Macaca mulatta: one gene and its partners. The protein of the gene in region 5 purifies or fractionates together with the protein of the main gene of each other region. This does not show direct contact. Links are inferred from orthologs where the notes say so. Each region holds a gene or a part of one and is shown on either strand. Other genes may lie near its edges. The genes, in order: STAT3, CREBBP, PPARG, RB1, SP1, SMARCA4 and RELA.

Region 1 (3,500 bases), on a different chromosome or scaffold from region 5:
TCCAACATCTGTCAGATGCCAAATGCCTGGGCGTCCATCCTGTGGTACAACATGCTGACCAACAACCCCAAGGTTAGTACCCCCTCCTTTTAGTTGGTACCCCGGGATCTCTTGCGATGTATGGGTACCTAGTACAGACAATGAGCACCATCCCTCATCTAAACAAGCAAATGTGTTCTTTCCAATAGAACGTAAACTTTTTTACCAAGCCCCCAATCGGAACCTGGGATCAAGTGGCCGAGGTCCTGAGCTGGCAGTTCTCCTCCACCACCAAGCGAGGACTGAGCATCGAGCAGCTGACTACACTGGCGGAGAAACTCTTGGGTCTGCGTTTAACCCCTTCTCCCTCCCGCCTGCCCAGAAAAGGGATCCGGCCCACAGGGCTATTCATTTGGGTCATGTCTACTGAGCGTTAGGCCATGTTTCTTTCCTGAGCAAGGTGCTGTGCTGGTGCCAGGAAACAGGGGCTCCATCGAGTTGGGGAGTTGGGGTACAGAGACAGTTTGCAGTTTTCAGTCGAGGTGATCATTTTTGAGGTGGGAGGTGGATTTCTTTTCTCCTGGTTGCTGTCTCATTCACCCACTCCAACTAACCTTAGAAGATCTTTTAAATGTGTGTTGGAAGGTGGCACTAAAGGCTTGACATTCCCTGTCTATTTCTTTAATAAACTACAGGCTAGGTTTTTTTTGTTTTTTTTGTTTTTTTTTTTTTGAGAGACAAGTCTCGCTCTGTTGCCCAGGCTGGAGTGCAGTGGTGCGATCTCGGCCCACTGCGACCTCTGCCTCCCCTGGGTTCAAGCAATTCTCCTGCCTCAGCCTCCCAAGTAGCTGAGACTACAGGCGCCCACCACCACGCCAAGCTAATTTCTGTATTTTTAGTAGAGATGGGGTTTTACCATGTTGGCCAGGATGATCTCCATCTCTTCACCTCGTGATCCGCCCACCTCGGCCTCCCAAATTGCTGGGATTACAGGTGTGAGCCGCCATGCCCGGCCTAGGCTAGGTTTTTAAAAAATAATTAGTGGAGGCCAGGCGTGGTAGCTCACGCCTGTAATCCCAGCACTTTGGGAGGCCAAGGTGGGTGGATCATGAGGTCAGGAGATCAAGACCATCCTGGCTAACACAGTGAAACCCCGTCTCTACTAAAAATACAAAAAATTAGCCAGGCGTGGTGGCGAGTGCCTGTAGTCCCAGCTACTCAGGAGGCTGAGGCAGGAAAATGGCGAGAACCCAAGAAGTGGAGCTTGCAGTGAGCCGAGATTGCACCACTGCACTCCAGGGTGGGCGACAGAGCGAGATTCCGTCTCAAAAAAAAAAATAATAATTAGTGGAATATTTTATGTGCTACCTGGGCTAGAAGTAGCTTTGTCCTAATAAAGCTGTTGCCACCAAATACACCTGTCTGACACCTGATGTCAGCTTGTTAGTGCTGCTGCTGGTCCCCAGCCCGCCACCCGAGGCTGGGAAGAGCAGGGGGACTTGTTACATCACCCCCTATCCGTGCTGGGCTACCCAACAACAAAAGTGGGTCAAATGATGGGGTAGTGTTTGTCCTCGTGTGTGCACACACACAACGGTGGCCACGTTCAAAGATGTGAAAGCCAATGATTTTGTGGCCCATTGTGGGACCAATGTGTGTGTGTTCTGCTTTAAGAAATAACCTCTTGACCCCAAGCGGAAAATGTACTAGTTGATTCTTTTTCTTTTCCTTCAGGACCTGGCGTGAATTATTCAGGGTGTCAGATCACATGGGCTAAATTTTGCAAAGTAAGCAATCTTGTAAAATTCTCGTGGGAATGGGAATGCCTACCTGCACGGCTGTCGTGGAGGGCTCTGGCTTGAAGGCCCTGAACTCTTGGTCCAGCAGCCAGTAGGACCTGCCTGAGGGTAGATGGGCCTGAGGAGTTGGGTGGTGCACTGTGCCCCTAGGAAGGGAAAGGCTGGGATGGCAGCAGACTTGGCTTTCCCATTACTCTTTTCTGCAGGAAAACATGGCTGGCAAGGGCTTCTCCTTCTGGGTCTGGCTGGACAATATCATTGACCTTGTGAAAAAGTACATCCTGGCCCTTTGGAATGAAGGGTAGGTTGGACAGAGTGTGCACAGATGTAACCAAGTCCCCTGCTCTCAGCAAGCCAGTGGCAGGGGATGGATGCCCTGTTAGCAGTAACAACACTGTTCCTCCTCCTTGGCTCCAGGTACATCATGGGCTTTATCAGTAAGGAGCGGGAGCGGGCCATCTTGAGCACCAAGCCTCCAGGCACCTTTCTGCTAAGATTCAGTGAAAGCAGCAAAGAAGGCGGCGTCACTTTCACTTGGGTGGAGAAGGACATCAGTGGTAAGGGAGGCTCCCACCCACCCCACCTGCTGGCGGCTGCTGAGGCCTCATCACCGCTGCTAGTTCCAAGCACCTACTGCCCCCTTGTGGTGGAGATGGCACCGACTCCCTGCCTCACTCAGACTCGCAAAACACATTTGGGTGACTTCTAAATCCTTCTAGCTGAAGGATTGATTTGTCTTTGTTTTGCTTGCTCCAGTGACTATTTGTTGAGAAATTTGCAATTTAAGTTGTATTCTTCATCCCTTTTTCTACTTAGTCCTGTTAATATATCTTACACAAGTAGTTACATTCAAGTTTATTTTCTATGACCCAACTGGTAGCCTCTTCTAAATTAGAAGCCAGCCTGAACATTTCCACCGTGCCAGGCCACTCACTGAACAGTGTGTTCAGGGTCTCAACACTAGGGTGGCTTAAGTTTTTTCCCCTTCGAGAAAAGAAAAAATGGGCAGTTTTCTCTGAGATGACCTAGCTGTAGGTTCCATGATCTTTCCTTCCCATGTCCCGTGACAGGTAAGACCCAGATCCAGTCCGTGGAACCATACACCAAGCAGCAGTTGAACAACATGTCATTTGCTGAAATCATCATGGGCTATAAGATCATGGATGCTACCAATATTCTGGTGTCTCCGCTGGTCTATCTCTACCCTGACATTCCCAAGGAGGAGGCATTCGGAAAGTATTGTCGGCCAGAGAGCCAGGAGCATCCTGAAGCTGACCCAGGTAGTTGTTGATTTTCCATGTTCCTGGCATTTAATTTTTGGGAAAAGTTAGAAATTTGGGGATCCTTGGAGGATAGATAGGCAAATGCCTGAATAACCTGGGGGATCATTATTTCTCCTTATGGGAAAGAACTGTAGTGAGTGCTTTTGTTGGGGTGACCGATGGGATTTGAGAGGAGAATCAGAATCAGTTAGACTAGTGCAGTTCCTGCTCCACAGAGAGTGCATGAGTCTAAAGAGGGGATACAGCTTGGACAACAAAAAATACAAAAAAATTACCCGGTGTGGTGGCACGCATCTGTAGTCATAGCTGCTTGGGAGGCTGAGGTGGGAGGATCACCTGAGCCGAGGAGTTCAAGGCTGTAGTGAGCGGTGATCGTGCCACTGCACTCCAGCCTGGCTGATAGAGTGAGACACTGTGTCAAAAAATACAAATAAAGAGG
Region 2 (2,648 bases), on a different chromosome or scaffold from region 5:
TCCTGCCAGAAGATGAAGCGGGTGGTGCAGCACACCAAGGGCTGCAAGCGCAAGACCAATGGGGGCTGCCCGGTGTGCAAGCAGCTCATCGCCCTCTGCTGCTACCACGCCAAGCACTGCCAAGAAAACAAATGCCCCGTGCCCTTCTGCCTCAACATTAAACACAAGCTCCGCCAGCAGCAGATCCAGCACCGCCTGCAGCAGGCCCAGCTCATGCGCCGGCGGATGGCCACCATGAACACCCGCAACGTGCCTCAGCAGAGTCTGCCTTCTCCTACCTCAGCACCGCCCGGGACCCCCACGCAACAGCCCAGCACGCCCCAGACGCCGCAGCCCCCCGCCCAGCCCCAACCCTCACCCGTGAGCATGTCACCAGCTGGCTTCCCCAGCGTGGCCCGGACTCAGCCCCCCACCACGGTGTCCACAGGGAAGCCTACCAGCCAGGTGCCGGCCCCCCCGCCCCCGGCCCAGCCCCCTCCTGCAGCGGTGGAAGCGGCTCGGCAGATCGAGCGTGAGGCCCAGCAGCAGCAGCATCTGTACCGGGTGAACATCAACAACGGCATGCCCCCAGGGCGCACGGGCATGGGGACCCCGGGGAGCCAGATGGCCCCCGTGAGTCTGAATGTGCCCCGACCCAACCAGGTGAGCGGGCCCGTCATGCCCAGCATGCCTCCCGGGCAGTGGCAGCAGGCACCCCTTCCCCAGCAGCAGCCCATGCCAGGCTTGCCCAGGCCTGTGATATCCATGCAGGCCCAGGCGGCCGTGGCTGGGCCCCGGATGCCCAGCGTGCAGCCGCCCAGGAGCATCTCACCCAGCGCTCTCCAAGACCTGCTGCGGACCCTGAAGTCGCCCAGCTCCCCTCAGCAGCAACAGCAGGTGCTGAACATTCTCAAATCAAACCCGCAGCTAATGGCAGCTTTTATTAAACAGCGCACAGCCAAGTACGTGGCCAATCAGCCTGGCATGCAGCCCCAGCCTGGCCTCCAGTCCCAGCCCGGCATGCAACCCCAGCCTGGCATGCACCAGCAGCCCAGCCTGCAGAACCTGAATGCCATGCAGGCTGGTGTGCCGCGGCCCGGTGTGCCTCCACAGCAGCAGGCGATGGGAGGCCTGAACCCCCAGGGCCAGGCCTTGAACATCATGAACCCAGGACACAACCCCAACATGGCGAGTATGAATCCACAGTACCGAGAAATGCTACGGAGGCAGTTGCTGCAGCAGCAGCAGCAGCAGCAGCAGCAACAGCAGCAACAGCAGCAGCAGCAGCAAGGGAGTGCCGGCATGGCTGGGGGCATGGCGGGGCACGGCCAGTTCCAGCAGCCTCAAGGACCCGGAGGCTACCCACCAGCCATGCAGCAGCAGCAGCGCATGCAGCAGCATCTGCCCCTCCAGGGCAGCTCCATGGGCCAGATGGCGGCTCAGATGGGACAGCTTGGCCAGATGGGGCAGCCGGGGCTGGGGGCAGACAGCACCCCCAACATCCAGCAAGCCCTGCAGCAGCGGATTCTGCAGCAACAGCAGATGAAGCAGCAGATTGGGTCCCCAGGCCAGCCAAACCCCATGAGCCCCCAGCAACACATGCTCTCAGGACAGCCACAGGCCTCGCATCTCCCTGGCCAGCAGATCGCCACATCCCTTAGTAACCAGGTGCGGTCTCCAGCCCCTGTCCAGTCTCCACGGCCCCAGTCCCAGCCTCCACATTCCAGCCCATCACCACGGATACAGCCCCAGCCTTCGCCACACCACGTCTCACCCCAGACTGGTTCCCCCCACCCCGGACTTGCAGTCACCATGGCCAGCTCCATAGATCAGGGACACTTGGGGAACCCCGAACAGAGTGCAATGCTCCCCCAGCTGAACACCCCCAGCAGGAGCGCGCTGTCCAGCGAACTGTCCCTGGTCGGGGACACCACGGGGGACACGCTAGAGAAGTTTGTGGAGGGCTTGTAGCATTGTGAGAGCATCACTTTTTTTCCCTTTCATGTTCTTGGACCTTTTGTACTGAAAATCCAGGCATCTAGGTTTTTTTTATTCCTAGATGGAACTGCGACTGCCAAGCCATGGAAGGGTGGATTGATGTTTAAAGAGACAATACAAAGAATATATTTTTTTGTTAAAAACCAGTTGATTTAAATATCTGGTCTCTTTCTTTTTGGTTTTTTTTTTTTCTTTTTTGGGGGGGGGTTCTTTTTTTTTCCGTTTTGTTTTTGTTTGGGGGGAGGGGGGTTTTGTTTGGATTCTTTTTGTCGTCATTGCTGGTGACTCATGCCTTTTTTTAACGGGAAAAACAAGTTCATTATATTCATATTTTTTATTTGTATTTTCAAGACTTTAAACATTTATGTTTAAAAGTAAGAAGAAAAATAATATTCAGAACTGATTCCTGAAATAATGCAAGCTTATAATGTATCCCGATAACTTTCTGATGTTTCGGGAAGATTTTTTTCTATAGTGAACTCTGTGGGCGTCTCCCAGTATTACCCCTGGACGATAGGAATTGACTCCGGCGTGCACACACACGTACACACACCCACACACATCTATCTATACATAATGGCTGAAGCCAAACTTGTCTTGCAGATGTAGAAATTGTTGCTTTGTTTCTCTGATAAAACTGGTTTTAGACAAAAAATAGGGATGATCACTCT
Region 3 (3,428 bases), on a different chromosome or scaffold from region 5:
CAGTGGCATTGATTAGCAGGTAGTATATGAATAGGCTGCTGGTGGTGAGTGAAAATCTCGGTTAGGATTGTGGAAGAAGACTGAATTCTGGGTAAGCCCAGGGATATACTGCATATCAGCATATCCAGGCTACAAAACACATGCTCTGAGCCGTCTGATTCTGTAGTTCCCCTTCCCTTCTTAGTTCTGATTGTTAAAGCAGATGTAGAGTTCCGAAAAGTTGTAAATTGAGTAAAAAATTAATTTACTGAGAATGGAAGTGTATCAGCAGTTCCACTCACATATTTTAAAATGTCTAAGAAAGAAAAGAAAAATAAAGGAAGAAGGAAAGGAAGGAAGGAAGGGAGGAAGGGTGCGAGGGAGGGAGGGAGGAAGGAAGGGAGGGAGGGAGGAAGGGAGGGAGGGAGGGATCGAGGGAAGAAGGAAAAGGGGGAAAAAAGAAAGCCCAGGGGCTAGGGTGGGAAACACACAAGACTCAGTAAATGAAATACTATCAGCAATTTCATAATATGGTAATTTTTAATATTAAAAGTAAATTGTAAATGTGTCTTTATAAACAATATGCATAAAATAGATCATATTCTAAAACCGTTTCTTTTTAAAATGCTTTTTCACAGTAAATTTCTTAGGTGTCAGATTTTCCCTCAGAATAGTGCAACTGGAAGAAGGGAAATGTTGGCAGCGGCTCAGGACTCTCTGCTAGTACAAGTCCTTGTAGATCTCCTGCAGGAGCGGGTGAAGACTCATGTCTGTCTCCGTCTTCTTGATCACCTGCAGTAGCTGCACGTGTTCCGTGACAATCTGTCTGAGGTCTGTCATTTTCTGGAGCAGCTTGGCAAACAGCTGCGAGGACTCAGGGTGGTTCAGCTTCAGCTGGAGCTCCAGGGCTTGTAGCAGGTTGTCTTGAATGTCTTCAATGGGCTTCACATTCAGCAAACCTGGGCGATCTGGGGAAGCACAAATGGAAAACACAACACGGGGTTCAGTCAAAAAATCCTCTGGGCCCCGCCTCGGAGGCCTAGGGAGCTCTACCAAGCAACTCATCCGTGGTTTTGGTTTGTTTTGCTTTGTATCTTAAATAGGTGGGGAGCAAGGGCAAGCAGATAATGGGTGAGAACTGAGGATGTAATCAGAACCAAAATAATCAGAGGTCTTTGCAGGGGCTTTTTCTGGCCAGGATGGAATCTGTGTGGTCAGCTGATGGAGCGTGGCATCAAAACAATTTCATTCCCCAAATTAAGTTTCCTCTGCTAACATGTTTCTACTCAGAAATTTCCTTTTTCCTTTTTTTTTTTTTTGAGATGGAGTCTTGCTCTGTCTGGCTGGAGTGCAGGCTGGAGTGCAGTGGCACGACCTCAGCTCACTACAACCTATGCCTCCCGGGATCAAGCTATTCTCCTGCCTCAGCCTCCTGAGTAGCTGGGATGATAGGCGCTCACCACCACGCCTTTCTAATTTTTGTATTTTTAGTAGAGATGGGGTTTCACCATGTTGGCCACGCTTGTCTCAAACTCCTGACCTCAAGTGATCCACCCGCCTTGGCCTCCCAAAGTGCTGGGATTACAGGCATGAGCCACCACGCCCAGCCAGAAATCTTTTCAACTTCTGCTCCTTCCTGATGAATCCATGTTTTATAGATTCTACTCAGTTTCTTATCATAGCTTCAAATATGCTCTTTTCACAAATATGCTTTTAAAAAAAGGCTTGTCTTTTTGCTTGATTTGCTTATGCTGTGTTTGCTTAATATGGCGTATTTCCAAACGACAAAACACAGTTTTAAAATACTGATACATTTTAACAGAGGTTTCTTTTGAGTGGCAAGATTGCAAGCAATTTTCACTAGTTCTTCTTTAGATTTTTTCTTTAGTTCAATTTGCAAATGGTGAACTTAAATACCTTTTAAATATTTTACTTTTTTCTTTATGTAGATCTTGTTAGATTTATTCTCAAATACTTTATAGCTTCTATTGTGAATGGACCCTTCATTTTCATTACATCTAATATATCCCCGCTGATGTGTAGAAAACTAATTGATTTTAGTATATTGAAACGATTCCAATTTCCTGAACTTTTGTCAGTTCGAATAGCTTTTAATCATGGATTTCTACTTTTTTTGGATAGATAATTGTATCAGCAATGGTAGCTATTTATTTCTTCTTTTGCATCATTAACCTTTCTCATTTCCTCTTCTTGCCATAGTGTGTTGGCTAAAACCTCCAATATGGGATTAAATAATAGCAGCAATTCTTGTTTTATTCCTAACTTTGAAGGAAATGCTTCTAATGGTTTATCAGCAACTATGATGTTTGCTATAGATTATGGAGGACATGTTTTACTCCTGGCTTATCCAGGGGTTTAAAAATTTTAATTTGTTTTAGTCAGGAATGTTGTTGAATTTTTATCAAATGCTTTTACATTTCTCTATCTAAAGAGCTATGATATCTTGAAGAGTTATGGTTTTATCTTAACCTAGCACAGTGAATTACATTAACAGAGTTCCTTATACCCTTGTAGTCACTTGCTAATATTTTATTATAGGGTTTTTGTACTTGTAGGTGGTACTGATTTAGAATTATTTTGGGGGCCATTCTTTGCCTGTTTTAGTAACAATGTTAACTAGCCTTATACACTGAGTTGAGAAGTTTGCCTTCTGTGTCGACATAGTAATGATCTGTTCCCTGACGGTTTCTTAGAATTTGTTTGCAGAACCATCTGAGCTTAATGATAAATCTATCATTATCTTTAATTTTTCTTCCATAGTTTTTATCTATTCAGGCTTTCTACTACTTATATGGTAAAGTTTTAGTAATTTATATTGGAATAAAGTTGTAGATGATATTGTCTTAGAATATGAAATGTATTTATTCATGCCCCTTAACTTAATCTTAACTTAATGCTTTTTCTTTTCTTTTTTTTGAGACAGAGTCTTAATCTGTTGCCCAGTGCAGTGGCATGATCATGGCTCACTGCAGCCTCCAACTCCTGGGTTCAGGTGATCCTCCTGCTTTAGCCTCCCAAGTAGCTGGGACTATAGGCATGAGCCACCACACCCAACTAATTTCTAAATTTTTTGTAGAGGTGGGGTCTTGCTACATAGCCCAGACTGGTCTTGAACTTCTGGCCTCAACCAATCCTCCTGCCTCAGCCTCCCAAAGTGCTGGGAACATAGGCATGAGCCACTGTGCCCAGCTCTTAGAGCTCTTTATTTGTGCATTCTCTCATTAAAAAAATCTGATTTGGCCAGAGAATGGCAGGAACCCGGGAGGCGGAGCTTGCAGTGAGCTGAGATCTGGCCACTGCACTCCAGCCTGGGCGACAGAGCAAGACTCCATCTCAAAAAAAAAAAAAAAAAAAATCTGATTTGTCAAAGGTTTATCTAGTTTTTGCTTTTTTAAAAAAACATAACTTTCGGTTTTTTAATCAAGTCT
Region 4 (3,500 bases), on a different chromosome or scaffold from region 5:
GTATATATGTATGTATATACACAAATGTATATATGTATTATATAACCTCAAATGAATATTTAGAAAAGTTTTGAAGTTCACCAATTAGGAGTATGATTTGAGATTAGGAGTATTTTATATATATATATATATATATATATATATAAAAAAAATAAATTTCTATGCAATATGCCTGGATGAGGTGTTTGAATAATTACATTTAGAAACTCGAATTATTGAAAGCTTTAATTTCTTTTATACTTACAATGCATACTATTATATTTCATAGAAAGAAAATACTCACCCCAAATGATTCACCAATTGATACTAAGATTCTGTCAAGTTAAGATGAAATGCCAATTAGTAATAAAAAATCATATACAATTTTGCAGAGACGAGCATAGATACATCATTCTGAACTATTAGGAATACTAAATTAAAGGTTACCTCTACCCTAGAACTACTGACAAACTATATTCATTTGGGAATTATTGTAACAGTGCCCATTTAATCATATACTCACCTAGTCTCTTAGTTTTACAGCAAAAGTTATAAGTCTGCAAGAACATATTCTGCTATTGCCCATATTTAGGGAGGGCAAAGGAAAGTTTCAAGTTTACCCCTACTGAGTTCTTCGTAAATCAATGGGTAAGTTATCAAATTTCTTTCATATTTTCTCATTTAAAATTCAAGTAATATTTGGAAAAAACTTACAATATTAAGTAATAATCAGAATTCTAATTAGCCTCTATATTGATATAGTAAAGGCTATCATATATCATATATGGAGTCAGAAATCTTTATTAGTCTGTCTTTATTTGAACCATATAATTTATGTTCTTGATAATAAATCTGAAGAACATCATTAGACTGACATGACTCAACAAAGATTTGAAAACATGAACACGGAACTAGTGAATATAGAGAATTTTTTGTCCTCTAATTCCTTGATAAGTGGCCATCATTCTACATATAATATTTGATTAACCAGAACACCTAAATGTACCAGGTAGTGTTAAGATGCTCTCCTAATGCCTGGTCAATGATTTATTAGTTAGGATGTTCAGAATGTGACTTTCTTGCTAAAGAATACCAACACAGAATTTATTTCACTAAGGATCAGCAAGTAGCCATCATTATCACCATAATATGGACTAATTATCACTATTAAAGAAAACTACCTAAGTATACATTTTCATATAGTGGCATGGAACAATGTAAATTTTCTTAAATAGACATGACGTGGCATCTTAGCAGCTTAGAACAAGTAGTAGGTATCAGTACACAGATATCCAACTACAAGAACACCAAATAAATAAAGGATGATACAGAGGCACATGAGAGCATTTGTATCATATTGCCAATTATTTCTCACTTCATATTTTTCTGTAGAGTTTGAAATTTTTATAATGAGTACGTACTACTTAAATAATTAAATATACCATGCAAATGTTTTCTGAAAGGCCAACATATTCCCCTTTTCTTGCCCATTAGGTACAACCATATGGGCTGATAATTTCTGAGATGAGACTACATTAACTATACTAGCTAATCTGCCTCCTACTTTACACAAATAAAGTCAGTTTCAAATAGCCCGTGATAACATATAATTAGTCAATTGAAGCACTTCAAAGCCAGAGAGCACTTGTGGTTGGATGTGGAAGATAATATAATGATTTGTAGTTGCACACAACCTTTCATCTGAGCATTTAAAACAGCTTCATACTCATCATTTCCCTGATCCACAGCACCCTTGTGAAGTACAGATAGAGACCTGCCCAAGGTAAAGTGGTAAAGTGGCCGCCAGCAGGATTAGGGATGGACCTCTAAAGACTTAATTGACAGTAATCTACATTTAATATAACAAGCAAAATGAACAAAATCCACAGGAAGCAAAATTTACAGGACATCCAATAAACTACAAACTAAAAGTACTCAACCTAAAGTAACCTGCTTTGTTTAGCAGATTGGCTACTTAGAAAAATATGAAAGTGTTTTGAAACATATAACCAAACTGGTTCTCAAATTGTTTACAAAAGAAGATACCCTAACAGTCAGGAAATCTGATAAGTAAATGTGTAAACTCATCCAAGTAAATAGATTTTCTTTCTCTCCATATTCTTATTATGTTACTTAAATAAGCAAATAGAGTTTCAAGAGTCTAGCTTATTTGAAATGAAGAAAGCTTTATATTTTTTATTCTTGGATCAAAATAATCGCCCTCTCATTCTTTACTACTTCCATAAAGAGAAAACACACACCTTGATCTTGGAGTCATTTTCGTTGGTGTTGGCAGACCTTCTGAAATTTTATATGGACTCTTCAGGGGTGAAATATAGATGTTCCCTCCAGGAATCCGTAAGGGCGAACTAGGAAACTTGTAAGGACTTCGAGGAATGTGAGGTATTGGTGACAAGGTAGGGGGCTAGAGCAAAAACAGAAAAGTAGACCATTTATTTAATGTTTTGGTGGACCCATTACATTAGATTTTTCCAGTCAAAGGATACTTTCGACCTACCCTGGTGGAAGCATACTGCAAAATATTTGTTTTCAGTCTCTGCATGAAGACCGAGTTATAGAATACTATAATAGAATCATACTCCTCTTCTTTGATCAAAACACGTTTGAATGTCTGAGAAAGAACAGTAGAAAAAAAAAAAAGTAAAATTTACTTGTTAAATGAATTTTAAAATTTCTACCTTTAGATTTTCTTTTCTAATAGTTTATAATACTTTTTGACTGATAAGAAGCACATATTATAAAAGAAAAAAATAATCTAAAATTACTTCTTAGGCTTGGATTATAGCTGCTCTCCGAGAAGTGAAATGTCACAGAATGATTGAGAGAAATAGCCAGGCAGCAGCAGATGGAATAGCTGGCCATCTAAGAAGACAGGAGTAGACAGGCTAGTAGAATGGAAAGCATGATCAAAGGGAATCAAAGGGCCAGAGCTGAGCGAAAGCCAATAACATTATGTATCAATATTTGGACTACATTCTCTGGCCTGTACCTCCTGGTATTCCCCCCAATCTATAAGGGTTTAAGTATGCATTACTCAATTGCAAGAAGTAGACATTTAGTAAAGGCACTATATTTTAGTGATAGATTTCACTCAAATTTTAGGTAAAAACACAGAGGTTATATCAGATGCCTCTGATATATACAATTAAAATGATTGAATTTAGAAAATAACTTCAAACATACAAACAAAAATGACTTGGTTTGTATTACTTTTGAAAACTCCAATAATAAATGGGAAAAATATCCCACAACTCACTTTCCACAAAACAATATGAAATATGTCATACCAAGTATATTTTACTACTACTATTTCTCTAAAGGGAAGGTAAACCAGAAACACAAAATGTGTTTATACTGAACATTTTTATTATTTATTTGCAAGGCTGCATTTATATTGGCTTTTCCTATAAACTAATACAAATAACTTCAAAGAATATCTAATGTTCTATGACTCATGTCAAGTTTATTACAAATACCTGCCTATTACAGGGATAAAGTAT
Region 5 (4,070 bases):
TCTGGTTTTGCTGGATGTTCAGAGCATCAGACCCCTGTAGCCCACTGACCCTCTGGGGTGTCTGGCCTTGAGAGTTGGTCCCTGATGATCCACTGGTAGTAAAGTTCATAATTCCCATGTTGCTGGTGGTAGTAGTAGTTGAGTAGCTATTGGCATTGGTAAAAAAGGAGCTGGAACTGGCTTGTGATGACACCAAGCTGGCAGAACTGATGGTAGTCCCTGAGGTGACAGGCTGTGAGCCGCTCTCCTGGGACCCAGAGCTGCTGATGGTGACTGCCTGAGAGCTGGGAGTCAAGGTAGCTGCAGAAACGCTGTTGACAGGTAGCAAGGTGATGTTCCCATTCAGGGCCACTGGTACATTGGTCACATACTGAGTCTGTCCTGAGAGTACATTATTAGCCAGGCCTTGGAGGGGGACAGCCTGCTGGAGTAGATTTGGCATAGCAGCAATGATGTTGCCTCCACTTCCTCGATTTGTGATAATCTGTTGGTTTGCACCTGGTATGATCTGTATTTGACCAGAACCATCCTGCTGCACTTGGGCCCCAGTGGCAGCAAACTGCAGCTGTTGCCCATCAACGGTCTGGAACTGTGGGATTACTTGATACTGAATATTAGGCATCACTCCAGGTAGTCCTGTCAGAACTTGCTGGTTCTGTAAGTTGGGAGTGGCAGCCACAACATACTGCCCACCAGAGACTGTGCGATTCTTGGAAGACTCACTGCCATTGCTGCCATTGGTACTGCTGCCACTCTGTTCCTTTGAGGTAGGGGTAGCCCCAGAGGAGGAAGAGATGATCTGCCAGCCATTGGCACCCTGTGAAAGTTGTGTGGCTGTGAGGTCAAGCTCACCTGTTCCCCCTGACTGACTCGGGCCCTGGGAGTTGTTGCTGTTCTCATTGGGTGACTCAATTCTGCTGCAAGTTGCTGCCAGCAGAGCCAAAGGGGATGGCTGGGACTCCTGGCCAAAAATAAGGGAGAGGAAAGGAGTTAGTGACACCCAGCTGCCAGCCTAGGGGGCAGTATACAACAAATAAACAGCAACGTAGTGCAGACAAGGAGCAAAAAACAGAAACAAAAAGCTGACCTATCTGTATTGCTGAAACTCCTGTCTTTGGGGATCTCCATACTCTTACTTCTTATCTATAAAATGGTTTTGATAAGCTCCCTAAAAAGCTTTCTATGAAGAGTAAGGCAATTATCTAAGAATATTTACATCCTCTCAACATCTTCCCCACTCTATTATTATCACTTACCTGCCCTCCTCCTCCTCCACTGCTGCTGCTACTGCCTGTGCTGCTACTTCGAGCCTGTGAAAAGGCACCACCACCATTACCACTGCCCCCATTATTGCCACCAACTCCTTTTTCAATCTTCACCACAGCTGTCATTTCATCCATGGAGTGATCTTGGTCTAAAACAATTAAAAAACAAACAACTTAAACTTGAGGGAAGAAAAGAGATGAGGTAGGAAGGATAAAAGGAGGCTATGATGAAATAGCAATGACTAACAGGAAGGCGAAAGGCGCCAGTATAAAGAAAATGGATTGGAGGGCAGAGGGGAGCTGCAGGGCATGCAGGACATGAACTAGGCTCAATGGTGCCAAAAGTGGGCCTCAATTCTCCCTTACACAAAATTAACTAAGAAAACATTCAAAAAGTGCTTTGGGGATAGGAAATGTGAAGGATGGTAGTCATGCTGAAAGAGTTTCAAAATAAGAAAAAGTATCCTAAGGGAAAAAAGGACAAGTAAGGCAAAAAACAATATGTGGGTGGATGGAAAGATTGCTAAAATTAAGGTTAAAAGAGATGGAGAGGCCAGGCGCGGTGGTCATGCCTGTAATCCCAGTACTTTGAGACGCTGAGGCAGGAGGATCACCTGGGGTCAGGAGTTTGAGACCAGCCTGACCAACAAGGAGAAACCCCGTCCCCACTAAAAATACAAAATTAGCCGTGTGTGGTGGCGCATGCCTGTAATCCCAGCTACTCCCGGAGGCTGAGGCAGGAGAATCGCTTGAATCCGGGAGGTAGCAGTGAGCCGAGATCGCACCATTGCACTCCAGCCTGGGCGACAAGAGCGAAACTCCCTCTCAAAAAAAAAAGAGAGAGATAAACAAAAACCCAAGTATTAAAAGTAACAAGAGGAGAAGGGAAAAAGAAATAAAAAGTTTTAGTAGGAAAACATTTGTGAATACTACTAAGGAACTAAAGGGGTGTACTGGTTAGTAGTCAGGAGGTTTCGGGGCGGAGGGCGGGCCCTGAGGGAAAGGGCGGTTTCGGGGTGAGGGGCGTGGAAAGGGCGGGACGGTGGGGCGGGGGGAAGGGAAATCTACGGAAAGTGGGGGGAGGAGGGCGCCGGAGCAGGCGGCGACCAGAGGACGGACCAGACAAGCGGTTGGCCCGGGCGGGGCCTTCACTGCTCGGGCCGCCCCCGCGGCTCCAGCCCCCGGCGGGAGGAGCCTCAGGCGGGCGGCCGAGTAGTGGGGGGTAAGGCCCGTCCCCCGTGGCCGGGGCGGGCAGGGGGCGGGCGAGGCCACGCTGCCCCCTCCCCCGGGGCGGGCGGCCCATCCCCCTCCTCCTCGGAGGCCCAGCCACTGCCCCGTCTCCCTCCCTTCCCTCCGCCCCGGGCGGGACCTAGGCCGCCGCCGCCGCCTCCCGCCCGCCCCCCCTCACGGCGGGGATCGCCCGGTCGGCCCTCGCGCGCGCCCCCTCACTCGCCTCCCACCCCTAAGCTTGGAGTGGACTCATCCTTACCGCTCATGGTGGCAGCTGAGGGACAAGCTCAAGGGGGTCCTGTCCGGGGGGGTTGGGGGGGGCCGGGAAAAACGCGGACGCTGACGAGGCAAGCGAACCCGGACCGGACAGGGAGGGGGGGGTGAGGAGGAGGGAGCAGCGCGCCACCAGCCCAACCTATGCCCCGCCCCTTCTCTGCTGCCCCGCCCAATGAGGGAGGGGGAAAGGTGGGACTTGCAGAAGAAAGACGGTGAGGTTTTCCAATGGCAAGACTCGCTTGCTCTCTAAGGCGTGTAAGACTAAGTTGCGTGCCTGGTGTCCGCCCAAAAAGACAGCCCTCTCAGTGTTAAAAGCCAATGAAAGATGCAGGAAGTGAAGATGGGCGGGAGCTGGGGATTATTGGCTTGGAAGGAAACCAGTCAACCGGCAGGCGGGCTCCCTGAGACATTGGGATAGGGAAAGGTTTGATAGGAATGACAGAACAACGGCCAACTAGAATCCGGGATATGCTTGGGCAAAATCCTAGTGGGAGGAGAGGTAAGAAGTAGACAGGAATAGGATAGGCTGAAGCTGATTAAAACCAATCAGAAATCAGGCGGGCAGCCAGGAAAGTTATGATTGGATTAAGACTGAAAAAAGACAGGAAAGGACGCATATTGACGTGAATTAAAAGCCAATTAAACGCCAGATTAACTCTGAGGGCGGAAACTTGGAGTGGCAGAGGAGAATTGGCGGCTCCCTAAGTTATTCAATCCAATGAGGGAACGAAGTAAGCCTGGCACCGCCTCCTAGTTGGCCAATGGGCGTTACCGGAGCCGCCCATCATGAGGGAGGGAAGAGGGCTGTGCCAAGAGGAGACCGTCGCCATATTGGCCCACCTCAGGGGACGTTGTTACAGTCATTAGGTGGGACGCTTTAGTGAAGTCTTGCAGCTCAACAGGTGTCAGAGCCAAGGCATTCGGCGCGCAGTTCCGCATCAACACTAGGATTTGTTTGAGTCTTCATTTAACTGCCCCTATAAAGTACCTCTCAAATCTTACCCGTTTCCCGGGTGGGCGGACAGGCGGGCAGATACCTCAATGTCGCTGCAAGCCCTGCGAGTGCAGCCGGAACGGGATTTGGGGACAGCGCTCACCAAATAAGTTAATACTGAGCTGACCAATATGCAGAGTCTCCGTAAGATTCCAGAAAACGCCATTTTGTTAAGTTCCGCCAGACAAAGGCGCTAACCACTTACGACTGGTTAACTTTTCAAGCTTTGAGGCTAAAGTGCGGATAAGTCACTTCCATTTTTCCGAGTTAATAGTAAATACCGCCTATGCATAAAGCAAGATAGT
Region 6 (3,500 bases), on a different chromosome or scaffold from region 5:
TCCGTCTCAAAGGAAAAAAAAACAAAACCGCGTCACAGGCCTGTGTGTGTGGTTGTCGCTGGGGAATGTTCCGGAAGCTACAAGAAAGCACATGTGCAGGCCACGTGTGGTGGCTCACACCTGTAATCCCAGCACTTTGGGAAGCCGAAGTGGGCTGATCACCTGAGGTCAGGAGTTTGAGACCAGTCTGACCGACATGGAGAAACCCTGTCTCTACTAAAAGTACAAAATTAGCCTGGCATGGTGGCGCACGCCTGTAATCCCAGTGACTCCAGAGGCTGAGGCAGGAGAATCGCCTGAACCTGGGAGGTGGAGGTTGCAGTGAGCTGAGATTGCGCCATTACACTCCAGCTTGGGCAATGAGCGAAACTCCGTCTCAAAAAAAAAAAAAAAAAAAAAAGTGCAAGAAATAGGTCCTGAGCCAAGTTTGAATTTCTCATCCTCTCTGTCCTCAATGTGGGGACCTGCTGAGGTGGAGTAGGGGCTCCCAGGTGGGCGGGCCGAGGGGTGACGCCTGCCGGTTCTGCCTTGCAGCAGCAGTGGACGTCAGCTCAGTGAGGTCTTCATCCAGCTGCCCTCGCGGAAGGAGCTGCCGGAGTACTACGAGCTCATCCGCAAGCCCGTGGACTTCAAGAAGATAAAGGTAACACTGACGCTGTGCCTGTGCCGTGCATCTGCCCGCGGGAGGAGTCTGACCCAGGGGCACCCCCATCCGAGAGCTGTGGTGTGTGGGCGGAATGACCAGAAACTGCCTGGGCAGAGCCTTGGGATGCCTGGTTAGGGACCTGGTCGTGGGCTTTTGGGGTTCCTTGTAAGGGTTGGGGGTGTCCTGTGGGATGTCAGTGAGCAGTTGGTGTTGGGTGTTCCTTCAAGGTCCTGCTCACTCAGTGCTGGGCCTCAGTCATGCAGTTCCCATGCCTGGTGGGCCGGGTTACCAAGGCTGGGGCTTCAGCCACATCCTCATAGGCGCGAGGAATCCTGGCCCGCGGGGTCCCCAGCACACAGCGGGACCTGCGGGCAGGCGAGGCGGGGTCCTGAGGTAAGACCTGCTCCTCCCGTCCATTGCAGGAGCGCATCCGCAACCACAAATACCGCAGCCTCAACGACCTAGAGAAGGACGTCATGCTGCTGTGCCAGAACGCTCAGACCTTCAACCTGGAGGGCTCCCTGGTGAGGGCACGGCTGGGGGATGGGGATGGGCCACTCCCACAGCTGGGCTTTGAACCAACCCGCCCCTGCTTCCTTTCTGAATTGATGGGTTAAAAACAATTCCCGCTAGCTGTGGTGGTTCGTGCCTATAATCCCAGCACTTTGGAAGGCCAAGGCGGGAGGATCACTTGGGGCCAGGAGTTCAAGACCAGCCTGGGCAATGTAACAAGACCCTGTCTTTAAAAAAAAAAAAAAAAAATTTAAATTTCCAACAACTTGGGATATTTTAGCAATTACAAAAGCAGTACGTATTTACCAAAGAAAATAAAGATAGGCACAACAGAAGAAATAGACTCAGAGTCCTCTGTCTGTTGGAATTTTGTTTTAAATTCCCTGGGGCACACTCTCTTCAGAGGAATCCTATGGGTGTGTTCTTTCCTGTGATAGAATTGACACATACACAGCCTCAACTTGGCAAACTTTTCTTAAGTGTGTTTGGGATTGATGCCTCTCAGAAAAAATACTTGACTTGGATGCGTTTGGGGAAGATGCTGGCTTCAACAAGGGACATGCATTTCTAATGTTATTGCAGACCTCAGAGATTCTGCAGAAGGAGGGAGGCACCTGCAGCCATTTCCAAACCAGTGTGCCTGACCTTTCACCCCGGAGCATTTCAGAAGCCTGATGCTCTCTGGGGTACCTGTGGAGGAAGATCATGGAGAGGGCCTTCCACCCTGGGTGGGCTGAAGCCCCGACCCACTGAGGCTCGCACTGGCCACTGATCAGCTGTCCAGGGACAACACAGGGCTGGGGCTGGGGCTGGGGCTGGGGCTGGGGCCAGGGCCGGGCAGGCAACCCTCCAGTCAGGCCCATCCACTCAAGCCCCTGGTGTCTCCGCCCAGATCTATGAAGATTCCATCGTCTTGCAGTCAGTCTTCACCAGCGTGCGGCAGAAAATTGAGAAGGAGGATGACAGTGAAGGCGAGGAGAGTGAGGAGGAGGAAGAGGGCGAGGAGGAAGGCTCCGAATCTGAGTGTGAGTCCCGGGGGGGGTTCAGGATGCCGGGGTTCACGCTGGCCCAAGAGCCCCCAAGGTCACAGCTTTTCACAGCCCTCCCAGCTCCCAGACACCCCTTGCTGTGAGGGTGCTGCATTCCCAGAGCTCAAGGCTGTCTTTCCCTCGTGGTCCCCTCTAGCTCGGTCTGTCAAAGTGAAGATCAAGCTTGGCCGGAAGGAGAAAGCACAGGACCGGCTGAAGGGCGGCCGGCGGCGACCGAGCCGAGGGTCCCGAGCCAAGCCGGTCGTAAGTGATGACGACAGTGAGGAGGAACAAGAGGAGGTGAGGTCGGGCCCCCGAGCAGGCAGGGCTGGTGGGTGGCGGGAGGCATCCCAGGGCCCTGATAGGATAGCCCTGCGGGGCAGTGCTCTTACTCCCCCATGCTGCAGGTAGGGAAACTGAGGCTTGACCTGCCGTGGCTGACCCCAGGTCACACAGCCAATATGTGGCAGGGCTGCCACTGAAACCCAAGCCTGTGTGACCCTGGAACCAACTCTTAGTACCCGTGGGTGTCTAGGGACTGGGGGACATATGAGGTCTCAGGACAGGCAACAGGCGGTCCCATGGCACCAGGGCTGCTGGGCTGAGGCCGGGGAGGCCAGGGCTTGAGTAGGGTCGAGTGGGAGGTGCTAGGATTGGGGACCAACCAGGCAGTGCCTTGTCTCCTCAGTGTTGTAGAGAATGGGCAGAAATGCCAAACCCACAGTGGATAGTTTTTGGGGGACAGTAGGAAGCCTGAGCAGATCCACTTGCTGGCTTTAAATAATCTTCACCTTTGTCTCTGGCCCTTCTGGCTGTGGGACCTGGCAGGTCACTTTGCTTCTCAAGCTTCAGTTTCCTCTTATGCAAAGCAAGGAGGCTCCATGGATGAGGGAACTGCCCCCACTCAGGCCTGGCTCCCACTGAAGTCTGGTGAATGCCATTTTGTCAGCACAGAAGCAGCAAATTTCAGTGCCTGGAAATCAGTCTGACAAAAGAGGCATGTGACCTTTGAGGACATTCATGAAGTCCTCATGGGGAGGGGTGGCCTTCCAGGCAGGAGGGCCATGGGCTGTGATGGTGTGTCTCTTGCCCAAGCCAGAGCAGGGTGTTTTATGGCCCATGCCAGGCTGTTTAAAAATTTTTTTTTTTTTTTTTTTTTTTGAGACGGAGTCTCGCTCTGTCACCCAGGCTGGAGTGCAGTGGCCGGATCTCAGCTCACTGCAAGCTCCGCCTCCCGGGTTTACGCCATTCTCCTGCCTCAGCCTCCCGAGTAGCTGGGACTACAGGCGCCTGCCACCTCGCCCGGCTAAGTT
Region 7 (3,992 bases), on a different chromosome or scaffold from region 5:
CTGGGGACAGAGCAAGACTCCGTCTCAAAAAAAAAAAAAAAACACGACAAGGTGTCGCTCTGCTACCCAAGTGTCGTGGTGTAATCATAGCTTGCCATAGCGGTGACCTCCTGGGCTCAGGTGATCCTCCCACATCAGCCTCCCAAGTAGCTGGGACTATAGGCACAAGTCACCATACCCAGCTAATTTCTTATTTTTTTGTAGAGATAGGGTCTCACTATGTTGCCTTGGTTAGTCTTGAACTCCCAGGCTCAAGAGATCTTCCTGCCTTGGCCTCCGGAAGTGCTAGAATTATAAGCATGAGCCACTATGCCTGGCCTGTATATTTTTTTAAGGCCTGTTTCTGTCAACTGCAATGTCACCTCCAGGGGAGAGTGTTGGTTCAGTGGTTTTCTTTCTCAAACAAGAGACATGACTCCAAGGGACTTGTCCTTCCAGCTACAGGGGTCAGGGATTCAGAAGTGATTAGGGACCCATCCATATCCCTTGGAGCTCTTATCTGTGCTAGAGTAGAGGTACAAATAGATCATTTCAAGACAAAGAGAGTTTACTTGCAGAGCTGAGTCAGAGCAAGAAGTAAGCAACTCTGCCCTGTGTCCAGAAAGGAGTAACACTGTAGCGGCTACTTCATAGCCCGCCTCCTGTTCCCTCATGCTGGGCCTCCTAGCCTGCAGGGAGCTCACCTGTGGATGCAGCGGTCCGGGCAGAGCTCAGCCTCATAGAAGCCATCCCGGCAGTCCTTTCCTACAAGCTCGTGGGGGTGAGGCCGGTGAGGAGGGTCCTTGGTGACTAGGGAGATGCGTACTGTCCCTGGTCCTGTGTAGCCATTGATCTGTCCAAAGTACAGAGGCCCAGACATCCAAACCTGACTCCCAAACACAGAGGGCTGGGGTTCCACAGTCCCTTCCCCGCACACCCTGGTGCAGTGCTGACCTTGATGGTGGGGTGGGTCTTGGTGGTATCTGTGCTCCTCTCGCCTGGGATGCTGCCCGCGGAGCGCCCCTCGCACTTGTAGCGGAAGCGCATGCCCCGCTGCTTGGGCTGCTCAATGATCTCCACATAAGGGCCAGAGGCCTGGGCTGGCTCTGCCAGGGGACACCGCAGGCCCATTAGACAGCTGCCCCCGCTGCCCTACCCCAGGGAACACCTCCCGGACTGCTGCGGGGGCCACTTACCTGCCGGGAAGATGAGGGGGAACAGTTCTGAAAGGGGAGGGAGATCAGGGTCAGCACACACCCACTGCCCATCCTCACAAGGGAGTATCTGCTCTCCACAGAGAAGAGAAGCCAGGCTCCCTCCCAGGGGAACTGAGTAAGGACCTGCTTCCTAGAACCTGCGGTGAAACTAAGGAGTGGAGGAAAGGAACCAGAAACACCTGCTTCTTGAGGGAAAACGGGGTAAGGAATCCTTCTCCCGAGGGAAGCCGAATCAGGGCCTGTTGTACTTTCATAAGGAAAACTGAGGGAGGGCACGCCCCACCTCCATCCAGAGAGGAAACTGAATCAGATGCGTTCTCCCCTAATAGGGAAACGAAGCCAGAGCTGCCCCCATGGACGGTGTGGAGGGAAACTGAGTCAAGGCTCCCTCTGCTCCCCCACCCAGGGAGGATGCTGAGTCAAGGGCCCCCCTCCACCCAGAGGGGAAACTGAGTCAGACCCCTCCCCGCCTGCCCCGCCCCGCGCCACCATCCGGCAGGCCGACCGCTCCCTGCGCAGCGCCAGTCGGCGCAGGAAGGGGCGGAAAGCGGCGCGGGGCCTCCCGCCACAGCCGGGGCGGTCCCGGCGCGGCCACCCCGCGGGGTCAGAGGGCGACCTCACCGTCCATGGCCGGGGTCCCGGGGGCGGGGCCGGGGTCGCAGCTGGGCCCGCGGCGTGCACTACAGCCGAGCCATTCGCCAGAGGCGGAAATGCGCCGCGCGCGCCCGCCGTCGCGTCACTGCCCGGAATCCGGCCGCGCCTGCGCGCTGCCCCGCCGCCGCCCGGCGAAGGGGCCGGGAGCAAGTGCGCGCCGCGCGGAGGACGAAGAGGCCGCGCGCACAGCCGCTGCCGGGGGCCGGGGCCAAGTGCGCGCGTCGCCGGAGACGAAGAGGCTGGTGTGCCCGGTGGTTCGGCTAGCTCCCGGGTCCCGGCCCCGCCTGGAGGGCGGGTCCGCCGATTACTCACTTTGTTTTTAGGGGATTTCAGGGCCCCCTCCCACCGATCGGCGGAGTTTGGTGATGTCACTCTGGGCCGGGTCTGGAGCAAAGCCCGGGCTACGGGGCTGCGGCCGCCCGCCCCGCGCAGGGAAAGGCCCAGTCGGGCCTTCTGCTCCGCAGAGGCCGGGTGGTTGAACTCCACGCCGGTTTCCTCATCGCTAAAGGTGCCTTTCGGTGGTGACTGTCTCAGAAGCACGTTAAAATGTCCAACCTACCCCACTCTAGATGCGGCTGTAGGGGAAGGGGAGCGGCCGGACCTCCCCCTCTGACAGTGCATCAGGGAGCTTTGCGGAGCCTGCAGCCCGGATGGGACAACTTGAGGCCCTCCCGCTGGCGAGCTGGCCGAGAGCTCGTCCCTCTCCAGCTAAAGCGCCAGCTTACTATGCAGCCAAACTGCCGGCCCTCAGCGGCTGCAGGAGCAGGGGGTCCCCAGGGGTAAACCCCGGAGCTTCGTCTCTGAAGCCTGGCGCTTGTATCTCAGAAGGTCCGGAACCCACAGGGGACACTCGAATCAGCAGGGCCACAACCCCCAACCCCACTGCCCCCGCCTGTGTTTGCCCTGGACCTCCAGCTAGGGCTGACCACTAATTCTGTCATGTGACCCCACAGTGCGGGTAGCTCCCCCAAGACCAAGCCCAAGGCGCGTCCTTGTGGGGGCTGGGGCTGGCGCAGCCCCACCTCAGGCCTCATCCCCGAAGGAGGATGCTCCAGGGGGCGGAGTCTTCTCCAGATGGAGAAAGACTTATTTTCTCTGAATTCGTCTTGAATTAGGAAATCATGTGGGAATTGGAAAAGACTGGAAATTCTGACTTGTTTCCCAGGCTCTGAAGAAACAGGAAGAGAAAAGTGAAAATAGAGTTAGCACCCCGCCCACTCATTTCAGTTTCTCCAGTGGCTGGCCCTGATTAGAAAAGTGTTTACTTTTGGCAGGGGGCGGGGAAGGCCGACTTCAGTTGAGCGAATGGATGACATACAATTATCATTAAACCTTGCATGGATCCTCTTCTTAAAATTCATGTATATTTATAACTTTTAAATTAATACCATAAACACCCGTGTACCCATTGCAAAACTTAAGGGACCACCACCGTGCAGAATTCTGCGTTGTATTGTATTGTATTGTATGTATTTATTTTTTGAGACAGGCTCGCGCTCTGTCGCCCAGGCTGGAGTGTAGTGGCACAGTCTTGGCTCACTGCAGCCTCTACCACCTAGGATCAAGCAATCCTCCCACTTCAGCCTCCTGCATAGCTGGGACTATGGGAGCACACCACCATGCCTGGCTAAGTTTTTGTATTTTTTTGTAGAGAAGTGGTTTAACCTTGTTGTCTAGGCTGTCCTTGAACTCCTGAGCTCAACTTTCCTTCCACCTTGGCCTCACAAAGTGCTGGGATTACAGGAATGAGTCACCACGCTGGGCCAGAATTCTGTATTTTCTTAAATTAATTAATTAATTATAACTAGAGATGGGTCTTGCTGTGTTGCCCAGGCTGGTCTCAAACTCCTGGGCTCAAGCGATACTCACACCTCAGCCTCCCAAAGTGGAATTACAGGCATGAGCCACCACGCCTGGGCCAGAATTCTGTATTAAAAAAAAAAAAATTACTCATATCTGCATGCCTACACAATATATTGTTTGGTTTTCCTTAGTTTTGAACTTTTTTTTTTTGAGATGAAGTCTCGCTCTGTCGTCCAGGCTGGAGTGCAGTGGCATTCAGCTCACTGCAACCTCCACCTCCCGGGTTCAAGTGATTCTCCTCCCTCAGCCTCCCAAGTAGCTGGGATTTAAAGGGGCCAA

The links.
Region 1: the proteins of SP1 (region 5) and STAT3 purify together in Homo sapiens (affinity purification with western blotting; 4 studies listed by BioGRID and IntAct, with this or other methods). This does not show direct contact. The link is inferred for Macaca mulatta from reciprocal best matches to the Homo sapiens genes SP1 and STAT3.
Region 2: the proteins of SP1 (region 5) and CREBBP purify together in Homo sapiens (affinity purification with western blotting; 5 studies listed by BioGRID, with this or other methods). This does not show direct contact. The link is inferred for Macaca mulatta from reciprocal best matches to the Homo sapiens genes SP1 and CREBBP.
Region 3: the proteins of SP1 (region 5) and PPARG purify together in Homo sapiens (affinity purification with western blotting; 3 studies listed by BioGRID). This does not show direct contact. The link is inferred for Macaca mulatta from reciprocal best matches to the Homo sapiens genes SP1 and PPARG.
Region 4: the proteins of SP1 (region 5) and RB1 purify together in Homo sapiens (affinity purification with western blotting; 3 studies listed by BioGRID). This does not show direct contact. The link is inferred for Macaca mulatta from reciprocal best matches to the Homo sapiens genes SP1 and RB1.
Region 6: the proteins of SP1 (region 5) and SMARCA4 purify together in Homo sapiens (affinity purification with western blotting; 3 studies listed by BioGRID and IntAct, with this or other methods). This does not show direct contact. The link is inferred for Macaca mulatta from reciprocal best matches to the Homo sapiens genes SP1 and SMARCA4.
Region 7: the proteins of SP1 (region 5) and RELA purify together in Homo sapiens (affinity purification with western blotting; 7 studies listed by BioGRID and IntAct, with this or other methods). This does not show direct contact. The link is inferred for Macaca mulatta from reciprocal best matches to the Homo sapiens genes SP1 and RELA.

Annotation. Positions count from the first base shown.
Region 1 is NC_133421.1:66,665,884-66,669,383, reverse strand, and holds part of STAT3 (signal transducer and activator of transcription 3), read left to right. Parts: coding exon 1-72; intron 73-188; coding exon 189-324; intron 325-1,713; coding exon 1,714-1,766; intron 1,767-1,984; coding exon 1,985-2,079; intron 2,080-2,195; coding exon 2,196-2,335; exon of another isoform or gene 2,336-2,421; intron 2,422-2,813; exon of another isoform or gene 2,814-2,848; coding exon 2,849-3,061; intron 3,062-3,500. UniProt on the Homo sapiens protein: Signal transducer and transcription activator that mediates cellular responses to interleukins, KITLG/SCF, LEP and other growth factors. Once activated, recruits coactivators, such as NCOA1 or MED1, to the promoter region of the target gene.
Region 2 is NC_133425.1:4,948,303-4,950,950, reverse strand, and holds the end of CREBBP (CREB-binding protein), read left to right. Parts: coding exon 1-1,950; 3' UTR 1,951-2,148; downstream 2,149-2,648. UniProt on the Homo sapiens protein: Acetylates histones, giving a specific tag for transcriptional activation. Mediates acetylation of histone H3 at 'Lys-18' and 'Lys-27' (H3K18ac and H3K27ac, respectively).
Region 3 is NC_133407.1:151,249,918-151,253,345, reverse strand, and holds the end of PPARG (peroxisome proliferator-activated receptor gamma), read right to left. Parts: intron 948-3,428; coding exon 700-947; 3' UTR 501-699; downstream 1-500. UniProt on the Homo sapiens protein: Nuclear receptor that binds peroxisome proliferators such as hypolipidemic drugs and fatty acids.
Region 4 is NC_133422.1:27,657,672-27,661,171, reverse strand, and holds part of RB1 (retinoblastoma-associated protein), read right to left. Parts: intron 2,612-3,500; coding exon 2,498-2,611; intron 2,405-2,497; coding exon 2,241-2,404; intron 628-2,240; exon of another isoform or gene 496-627; intron 315-495; coding exon 284-314; intron 1-283. UniProt on the Homo sapiens protein: Tumor suppressor that is a key regulator of the G1/S transition of the cell cycle. The hypophosphorylated form binds transcription regulators of the E2F family, preventing transcription of E2F-responsive genes.
Region 5 is NC_133416.1:60,526,017-60,530,086, reverse strand, and holds the start of SP1 (transcription factor Sp1), read right to left. Parts: upstream 2,801-4,070; 5' UTR 2,762-2,800; coding exon 2,755-2,761; intron 2,251-2,754; exon of another isoform or gene 2,054-2,250; coding exon of another isoform or gene 1,972-2,053; intron 1,415-1,971; coding exon 1,257-1,414; intron 962-1,256; coding exon 1-961. UniProt on the Homo sapiens protein: Transcription factor that can activate or repress transcription in response to physiological and pathological stimuli.
Region 6 is NC_133424.1:11,797,205-11,800,704, forward strand, and holds part of SMARCA4 (SWI/SNF-related matrix-associated actin-dependent regulator of chromatin subfamily A member 4), read left to right. Parts: intron 1-534; coding exon 535-643; intron 644-1,068; coding exon 1,069-1,170; intron 1,171-2,051; coding exon 2,052-2,184; intron 2,185-2,344; coding exon 2,345-2,487; intron 2,488-3,500. UniProt on the Homo sapiens protein: ATPase involved in transcriptional activation and repression of select genes by chromatin remodeling (alteration of DNA-nucleosome topology).
Region 7 is NC_133419.1:8,727,088-8,731,079, reverse strand, and holds the start of RELA (transcription factor p65), read right to left. Parts: upstream 2,801-3,992; 5' UTR 2,472-2,800; coding exon 2,410-2,471; exon of another isoform or gene 2,163-2,409; intron 1,938-2,162; exon of another isoform or gene 1,825-1,937; coding exon of another isoform or gene 1,818-1,824; exon of another isoform or gene 1,792-1,817; intron 1,345-1,791; exon of another isoform or gene 1,203-1,344; coding exon of another isoform or gene 1,176-1,202; intron 1,118-1,175; coding exon 934-1,117; intron 866-933; coding exon of another isoform or gene 833-865; coding exon 684-832; intron 1-683. UniProt on the Homo sapiens protein: NF-kappa-B is a pleiotropic transcription factor present in almost all cell types and is the endpoint of a series of signal transduction events that are initiated by a vast array of stimuli related to many biological processes such as inflammation, immunity, differentiation, cell growth, tumorigenesis and apoptosis.